2 linked regions of the Drosophila melanogaster genome follow. The protein of the gene in region 1 interacts with the protein of each later gene in a pairwise test. Each region holds a gene or a part of one and is shown in the gene's direction. Other genes may lie near its edges.

What was found.
Region 2: the proteins of Cnep1r1 (region 1) and CG32588 interact in a two-hybrid assay, tested with the Drosophila melanogaster proteins (one large-scale study listed by BioGRID).

Annotation. Positions count from the first base shown.
Region 1 is NC_004354.4:22,943,218-22,947,067, forward strand, and holds Cnep1r1 (CTD nuclear envelope phosphatase 1 regulatory subunit 1), read left to right. Parts: upstream 1-2,103; 5' UTR 2,104-2,267; coding exon 2,268-2,639; 3' UTR 2,640-2,791; intron 2,792-2,853; 3' UTR 2,854-3,122; downstream 3,123-3,850.
Region 2 is NC_004354.4:15,205,016-15,208,676, reverse strand, and holds CG32588 (uncharacterized protein), read left to right. Parts: upstream 1-2,040; 5' UTR 2,041-2,121; coding exon 2,122-2,283; intron 2,284-2,358; coding exon 2,359-2,508; intron 2,509-2,586; coding exon 2,587-2,787; 3' UTR 2,788-2,870; downstream 2,871-3,661.

The DNA of each region.
Region 1 (3,850 bases):
TTATGTTTACAATATATGATAAATAAAGAAGATTATTAAAAACCGCGGCTGGTTTGACAAACACAAAATAAAAATCGAAGCACAAAAAAAAAAAAACACGACTGTTCGCTTTGAAGTTAGGATATTGATATTTAACTTTCCTCCAATATACACTAGTCCGCATAAGTATTTGGACAAAATAAACGCTGCACATTTGTCAGTGAAACTTTTAAATGGTTTGATATGGTAGTATTGATTATTTTGTATTTTTTTGTGTTTTTAATTAAACTTAAAAAGTTATAAACAACTTAATGAAACATGATAATTTTTTGTTTGGCATTATATTTTGACAAACTCATTTAGTAAATGGTGTTCTGCTTTTGAGCACGTGTTAATCAACAATTGTTTAAATTGAACTTTTTTGGATATTGAACTTTAATAAAAAACAAAAAATTAATTGATAGCCATGGGTAAAAAGGCTAAGTTAAGTTTATTTATTAGATCAATGGTTGCACAGTTTAACGTTGGAATTAAAGTAAAAAACATTGCAAATGAGTTTAATGTGTCGCGACAAGCTGTGTATTATCAAATTAAAAAGTTTAAGAAACATAATGACTTAAACCTAAACAAGAACAGGCCGTTGCAACGCAGTGGAATCTGACCTCCAGCCTTCCGAAAAGTGAACGTAAGGCAATCAGTGAGTGGACATTTCGTCGACGTTTAAAGGAACAGGACACTGCTAATCAGGTATATTTTTAAAAATTAACTAGCTTAAAAGGCTGAAATTTGCAAAGGAATTGGCTTTCTTTATGTCAAAGCAAACGAAGATATTAGTAAGTGGCTAGTCATTAGTAACTTCTAGGAGAACAGGTAAATAATCTGAACTGAGAGTGTTTATTACTCGCGGAGTTATAAGATATTGTGGGCGATTTGTTAGGAAAAAGTTTAGAGTACATGGTTGACCGTGCTTTCCTGCAGGCATATAGGTGTGGTCAAGGGGATACAGTATTTAAAAGTTGTTGCTGTCAACTTTGGATTTTAGCAGGTTACCCCACGAGTTTGCCCGGCGACATCCCCAAGACTGGTGTCGGCAATTTAGGTCACCTCCTACAATATAAGGCACATTTGCGCTGCTTAATTGGCGAATGTCGGACAAAAAGAGTTGATTTTTCTGAGGATTTACTTGACCTCATGGAAAGTAACAAGACTAAATAAATGTCTGAGTGCCAACTATATTAAAAATATTTACGCCAATAGGTAGCAGGAAATGGCGAATACTTGTTTATATACATGTATATTGCAACCCCTCCCCCTCTTTTGACTGTTCGATCGTTTCAATAACAGCTATAGTTGCGTATTTTAACGTGTTGTAAGATGTTTTTAACCAGGTTTCAGAAACTAGGCAAATGTCAACATTATTACTATATAGAAATTGAGAAATTGATAGTCAGAAACGCTTCCTTTTGCCTGTTACATACTTTCAACGAATCTAGTATATCCTTTTTCTTTACGAGTAACGGGTATAAAATGGTTAGAATTCCGTCGTGCAATGCAATGTATTTCTATGTTTTTGAAAAACATTCCAAGCCAAATTATATGCACTCGCGTGATGGCTCTATAAAAATAAAATTTTTCAATGTGAAACACTCAATCAAATCAACAATCTTAGGCATAACTAGAATCTGCAGGATTAATCTTAACTTTGTAGCTTTTATAGTTCCCAAAATTTCGACGTTCATACGGACGGAGAGAGTTACAACAAAGACACTACAATAACAAAATGCGTAACGCCATACGATTTTTTTTTTGGCGTGGCTCTAGAGGTGGCTCCAGGGTCTCTCGAATTTTTGTTCAAGAGCGAGAGAGCGGAAAGCTGTACAGCGAACGTTTCATTTCTACGCATACATTCTAGTTTCTTTGTTTACTACTATGGTGATCTAAACGAAATATAACAATATAAACATTTATTTTAAATGTGGTGGGATAATGCATTACATTATAGGCAAAATAGTGGATATTTTACAATCTCAATGTATGTACTTTTTACAAGGAAGTAAAAGTGAAAGCATAGAAACCATCACAGCACTCGTTTCTTGAAAATCATATCATTATTACTTTGTCTTTTTTTTCAAACAGATTTCGTCTTTACCGAAAAAAATTATTATCGTGTCAGTAAAAATTCTGCAAATGATGCGGCCTTGCTGCTGTTCGTAAAATAGTAATTAACGGGGCAATCAGCATTGCAGCGCCCAGGGGACCGCATTAGAGTCAACTCCTTTAGCAACAGAATGGAGGACACAGATCAGGAAGACCTGCTGGCTTTCGAGCGTCGGCTGGCTGAGGTGGTAAACACTGAGAAACGGAGTTCACTCCGCTGGCGCTTTGTTCTGGGCGCCATCTTCGCCTGCTCGGCGATCAGTGCCTGTCATTGGGTTCGGGATGCCAAGGAAAGCGAGTCGGTGGTTTTCCAAATCCTGTCCAGTCAAAGCGCCTTTGCCTTCTCCCTGGCAACCATATGCCTGCTAATCTTTTATGGATTCAATCACGCCACTAAGCAGGACCCCAGTATCCTGCGTGACACCCAAGAAATGCTGTCTCCGTTCCGCCTTAACATTGATAACCAGGGACGTCTCATCCTACTTCCACGGCAGACAGAGTAGCTGAATATATGTATATCCCCAAAAACACATTTTTATTGACGGCGTTCCAGTGGAATAAATGATCCAGTCAATAAATGATCCAGCTAGTCAAATAAATGATCCTCAAAAATGGAAATGGACTAGGTATTGCACACCATGACAAATTTCGCGAGGTGACTTCTTGAAACTAATTGTTTTTTATTTACTTTTGAAACGTTATAAATTTTATTTCTAGTTAATTAGCGCTTAGACTAGCGACGACAACAATACAAAAAAGTTCGCTGACAATAATGCTTAGCGATCAAGAAGCGAAGAGTGGACTTAAAAACATGCATTGCATAGAAATGACCGAGATAGAGGGCTGTTAGTGCTGCGGCCTTAAATTATAAAAGGCTACAGAATTCGATTTTGCTGTTATGAAATCAAAAGGAGTTGGCTGCTGTCGACACAACAAAAGTGGGCATAAGTATTTAGACAATAAATACATTCAATATATTTGTTTATAACTCATTGTTTACTTAATGGGAAATTGTTTAATAATTTTCGTATATATGTAGAATATACATATACATATATATGTATTTATATGTATATGTATATGTATATATGTAGTAAAATAATCATATGGATTATTTAAATGTCATAAATTTAAAAGAAAAAAATCAACAAAAAAATTATAACAAATTAATAAAAAATATACCCTCTCTTAGCGTCTATCAACTTTTGGAGACGTTTTGGTACAGAGTGTACCAAACTGTGGTTATAATCTATTGAAATATACTTCCATAAGGCTTGAATTTCCAAAATCGTTTCTTCGCGACTCCTAGATATGTTTGCACGCCTTTTCTTTATACATATATGACCAGAGGTTTTCTATTATGTTGAGGTCTGGACCTTGAAATGGCCAACCCAATGTGTTTACGTTAACATTTTTCAGAAACTGCGTAATTAGCTTGGCTGGAGTATATAGGACTCCCCAAAAAATTTATCACCAGAGGGGAATGCATGATGCTGCGCAAATGGGATACATTATGGAAAATCACTAAAGCATTACTGTTTTTTTTGAAATAATTGAAGTGGCCGGTTTGGACCACCCAAATACGCCACTCCCCTTCCCGTAAAGAGAACCCTATACTTATACTTGGGCTGGGACTGATGGATATAGTATGGGAAATGGAGTTTCTTCTATTTCTTTTTGTTGTGTTTTGATTTGAATTTTTTCTTATTTTAAG
Region 2 (3,661 bases), 7.7 Mb from region 1:
AAAACTCAATTTATTACCAAAATGTCGACAAGCAGCAGACTTTTGTGCGTATATGTGCCACTGTGTCTTATTCGCTTTCTCCTTTCTTATTTTGTGTGTGTGTGTGTGCGAGAGTTACGACCTACGGAGAAAGGAGGTGAAAGCAGAACGAATGACGTACGGAAGTGGCAAACAGCAAAAGTTTATGCTGCCATTTTTGTTTGGCAATTTTCTATTTCTATTTCAATTCCAAGGCGTCGTTTTATTTGCATTTGGTGTGAGAAATGTGTGCGCGACTTGCGACCCTAACTTGCCCTCTTACTTTATCGGCGATACCCTGTAATATCGAGTGATGTTATTTTCGGTTTTAACTGTTTTAGCATTAGTTTAATTAAATATAATACACATATTGTATAGTATTTGCAGTGTATGTGTAAATGTGTATAAGCAATGCAAAAGTATAAACATATTCATAAAACAAGGAAATTTAAATTGTGTTGAATTTAGTATAGTGTTTACATTTTGATTGCAATGACTGTGAAGCACATATATGTACATATGTACACAATACCTGTTCATCCAACAACTTAATTAAAAAAAAGTAATACTCCAAGTTAATAATTATTATTTTTTTATTTTACTTAACCCTTAGGGTAAGTCACGTGTTGTTCCACCGAATTTCTTTGTACCATCGTTATTCTTGGCTTTTAACGTAATTCTTCTGCAGGACTCCCTAGCTCCTTTCCTTGTCTTCTTCTTCCTTTCCTGCACTCGTTCCATTTTCATCCTTGCTGTGCAATTTTATTTGCTATTTCGGTTTTGTGCTCCGCCATTCCATGTTGCTGCTTGTCTTTATTATTATTTTGTTTCTACAGTTGGCGATTTGTTGCTTTTTGTGTTGGTCGTTGGACGTTGGCATTGTTGGATGTATTGTTGGCCATCTCTGAATTTTGTTGGCCAGCTGTTGGGCGCACTTCACCCGGCCGCTTTGTGGCCACAATTTGGCGGAGTCCTTGAAAGGAGGAGGTGAATGGTGAAGACAATCCTCGCTCTGGACGCCGCTAAATAACCGTTTGGCTGAGCTAATCCACGGCCACATTGTCCATTGTCTGGGAAAGATAAGCGGCCATTGGACGTTTGGTAGGACAGTGGGACACCAACAGCAGATGGTGTGGCACCGGGACTCGGACAAAAGGGGAATCGTTGCCAGGACCAGGACATAGATAAGGCCATACCGCTCTACCCAGATTTCTGCAATAATAAATTTATAAAAATATCTATAAGCTGCCCCCAAATGTAAAACAACATACAAGTTTTGTTCTTTTATTAGTCTTGGGCATGGTTTACACCGCGTATACGTAATGTGAGTAACACTGAGCTTTGAACATTTGTCATAAGCCACGTAGTCCGAACAATCTACCAGCCAAGTCAATCGTTTCTTTCAGATATCTGCTTATTGAACAATTTCTTTTCCCCAGACATCCAGGCAAATGCCAACTGCAATGTTCTGGAACATTTGCGGTTGTCCTAATGGAACCATTACGTCCCAGATATACATTAAGTAGGATGGTGAATGAAATGGAAAACCTTTTATGTTACATTAAATTTGACTGCGTGCCGAGTGACAGTGTGGTAAATGGGTAAATGGGGTAAAGGGTCGGGCTCTGTGTCTCCGTGTCTCTAGGACTCCAAGACTCCGTTTCTGTGTCCTGGCTGGCGGGCTTGTCAAAGTTGTCGCAACATTGTGGCGCTGTCAGTGTCATTGTCGCTGCAAATTATGGCGGCCTGAATGCGTAAATGATGCTTAATTAACATTTACCCAGATTCCAGCCATGCGAAAGCCATGGAATGTCGACGGCGCGGTGTGTGTGCGGTGTGTGTGCTGTGTAGAGTGTGGTATGGTGTGTGGAAGACCCGGCCAGAAATTGCCAGTTATTCGCATTTTCAAGACAAAAATAAGCTACCAAGAAGAAGGCCAAGTGTCCTTGCACAGCCAGCGGGAGTAGTTGGCCATGATTTAATGCCCAAATCGTTTTCGATTTTCATTCATTGCCTTTCAGTCAGTCATCCCCTTTGACTTGAACGAAGCACCTATTTATACATTCTTTTATAAATTTGGAAAATTTATTTGTACATTTCGGCATGACATTCTTCGAGCAGATCAGTGATCACTTTTGCCGCGTTGTGCACACCAATCTCAAGATACCTCTATCATGTTGCGAAAGGCGCATCAACTGGAAAATCTCGAAAAGTATCGATTTATTGGTATTCTTTTATACCCTCAACATCGGTGTCCTTCGATTGGTGAGTAAATGGTAGCCCTTTATTTAATGGTGGGCAGCAAGTAAAGGACTAATTGCACCTAACCAAAATTCGTAGTTAATAAATTTTATAGATTTCATGATCGTTTTCTTCGGATGGCCAAGCAATCTTTTGATTTTAAAGGACTTCAATTCGCGGCGCTTTCGAGCCCTCACACACTTTTTACTGGTGAGAGCGTACATGCTAATGATATACTCCATTGTATTTGTAAGTACAAAGATTTACAATATGTACACACTTATTGTACCATTGTAATAAATTACTGCAACCATTGTTTAAATCCAGATCACTCCGCATAAGAATAATATCTTCGTTCCGCTTTTTGCCATCATCATGACCATCGATGTGTATGTCATTAAATTAGATATGAAGCGACGTGGATTGATGCCTCTGGAGCGCAGTGTGCCCCCCCTATGGGAAATATTGATCAGCTTGTGCTGTGTTGTTGCCGGGCAATGGCTGCTCAAGTATTTGATCTTTCATTAGCGTACGGATTTCATTGTAATGTTTTGTTCGCCTTATAATTGCTTTTTTTCTGAAATATACATTGAATACATTGTCACTCCTCTAATGCTGCATTCTCAATTCTTCACGCGAATGTCTGTGGACTCCTTGCGATGACTGTATAGTCTCGATTTGACAAATGTTTTCATTTTAATTTAATTTTGCTGGCGACAACTTTTTAATTGCCAAGTGGCGAAAAGGGCACACATTCGCGATAAGTGTTACTCTTTTGTTGGCAAGTGTAAAAGTTGTGAATAAAATTACACAAAGTCAGTCAAAAAGTGGTTAGTATTGGCAATTAGGATGTAAAAACTATGCCTTTTTTTAACGGTTTGGCCATTTTTTTAATCTTGAAAGCCATGGAATGTGGAGGGTGCGTTGTACTCGCGTTTTCAAGCCAAAAATAAGCAACCAAGAAGGAGGCCAAGTGGAGGAGCGGGCAGGAAGAAGCTGACAAAGTGGGCCGAAAAGGTGAACCGGAGCACATTGCGAACGGAAAGATTGTAACAAAGCCACAAATGGATGCTACACGGCGAAAAAAGTCGACGAAATTGATTAGAGATTTGAAGAAGAAAGATTTGGCAAATTCAACAGTATTTTTGGGTAACATTGGTAGCTATAAAACTAAAAATTAAAATGTATGTAAACATATATAAATATAATAATGATGTGATATAGAACTTATTTCTTTAAAACTCAATTGCACCTATTGCAATAATATAATCATTTCTTTATCACAGTTTTTTCTGTGTATAAATGCAAACGCATGCAGCTCCACAAATAAGTTTTCGCCTTGTTCGGGTTTATCGGCACTAATTGCAATGCCGAAGAGGCATAGGGAACCCCTTTCGCTTGA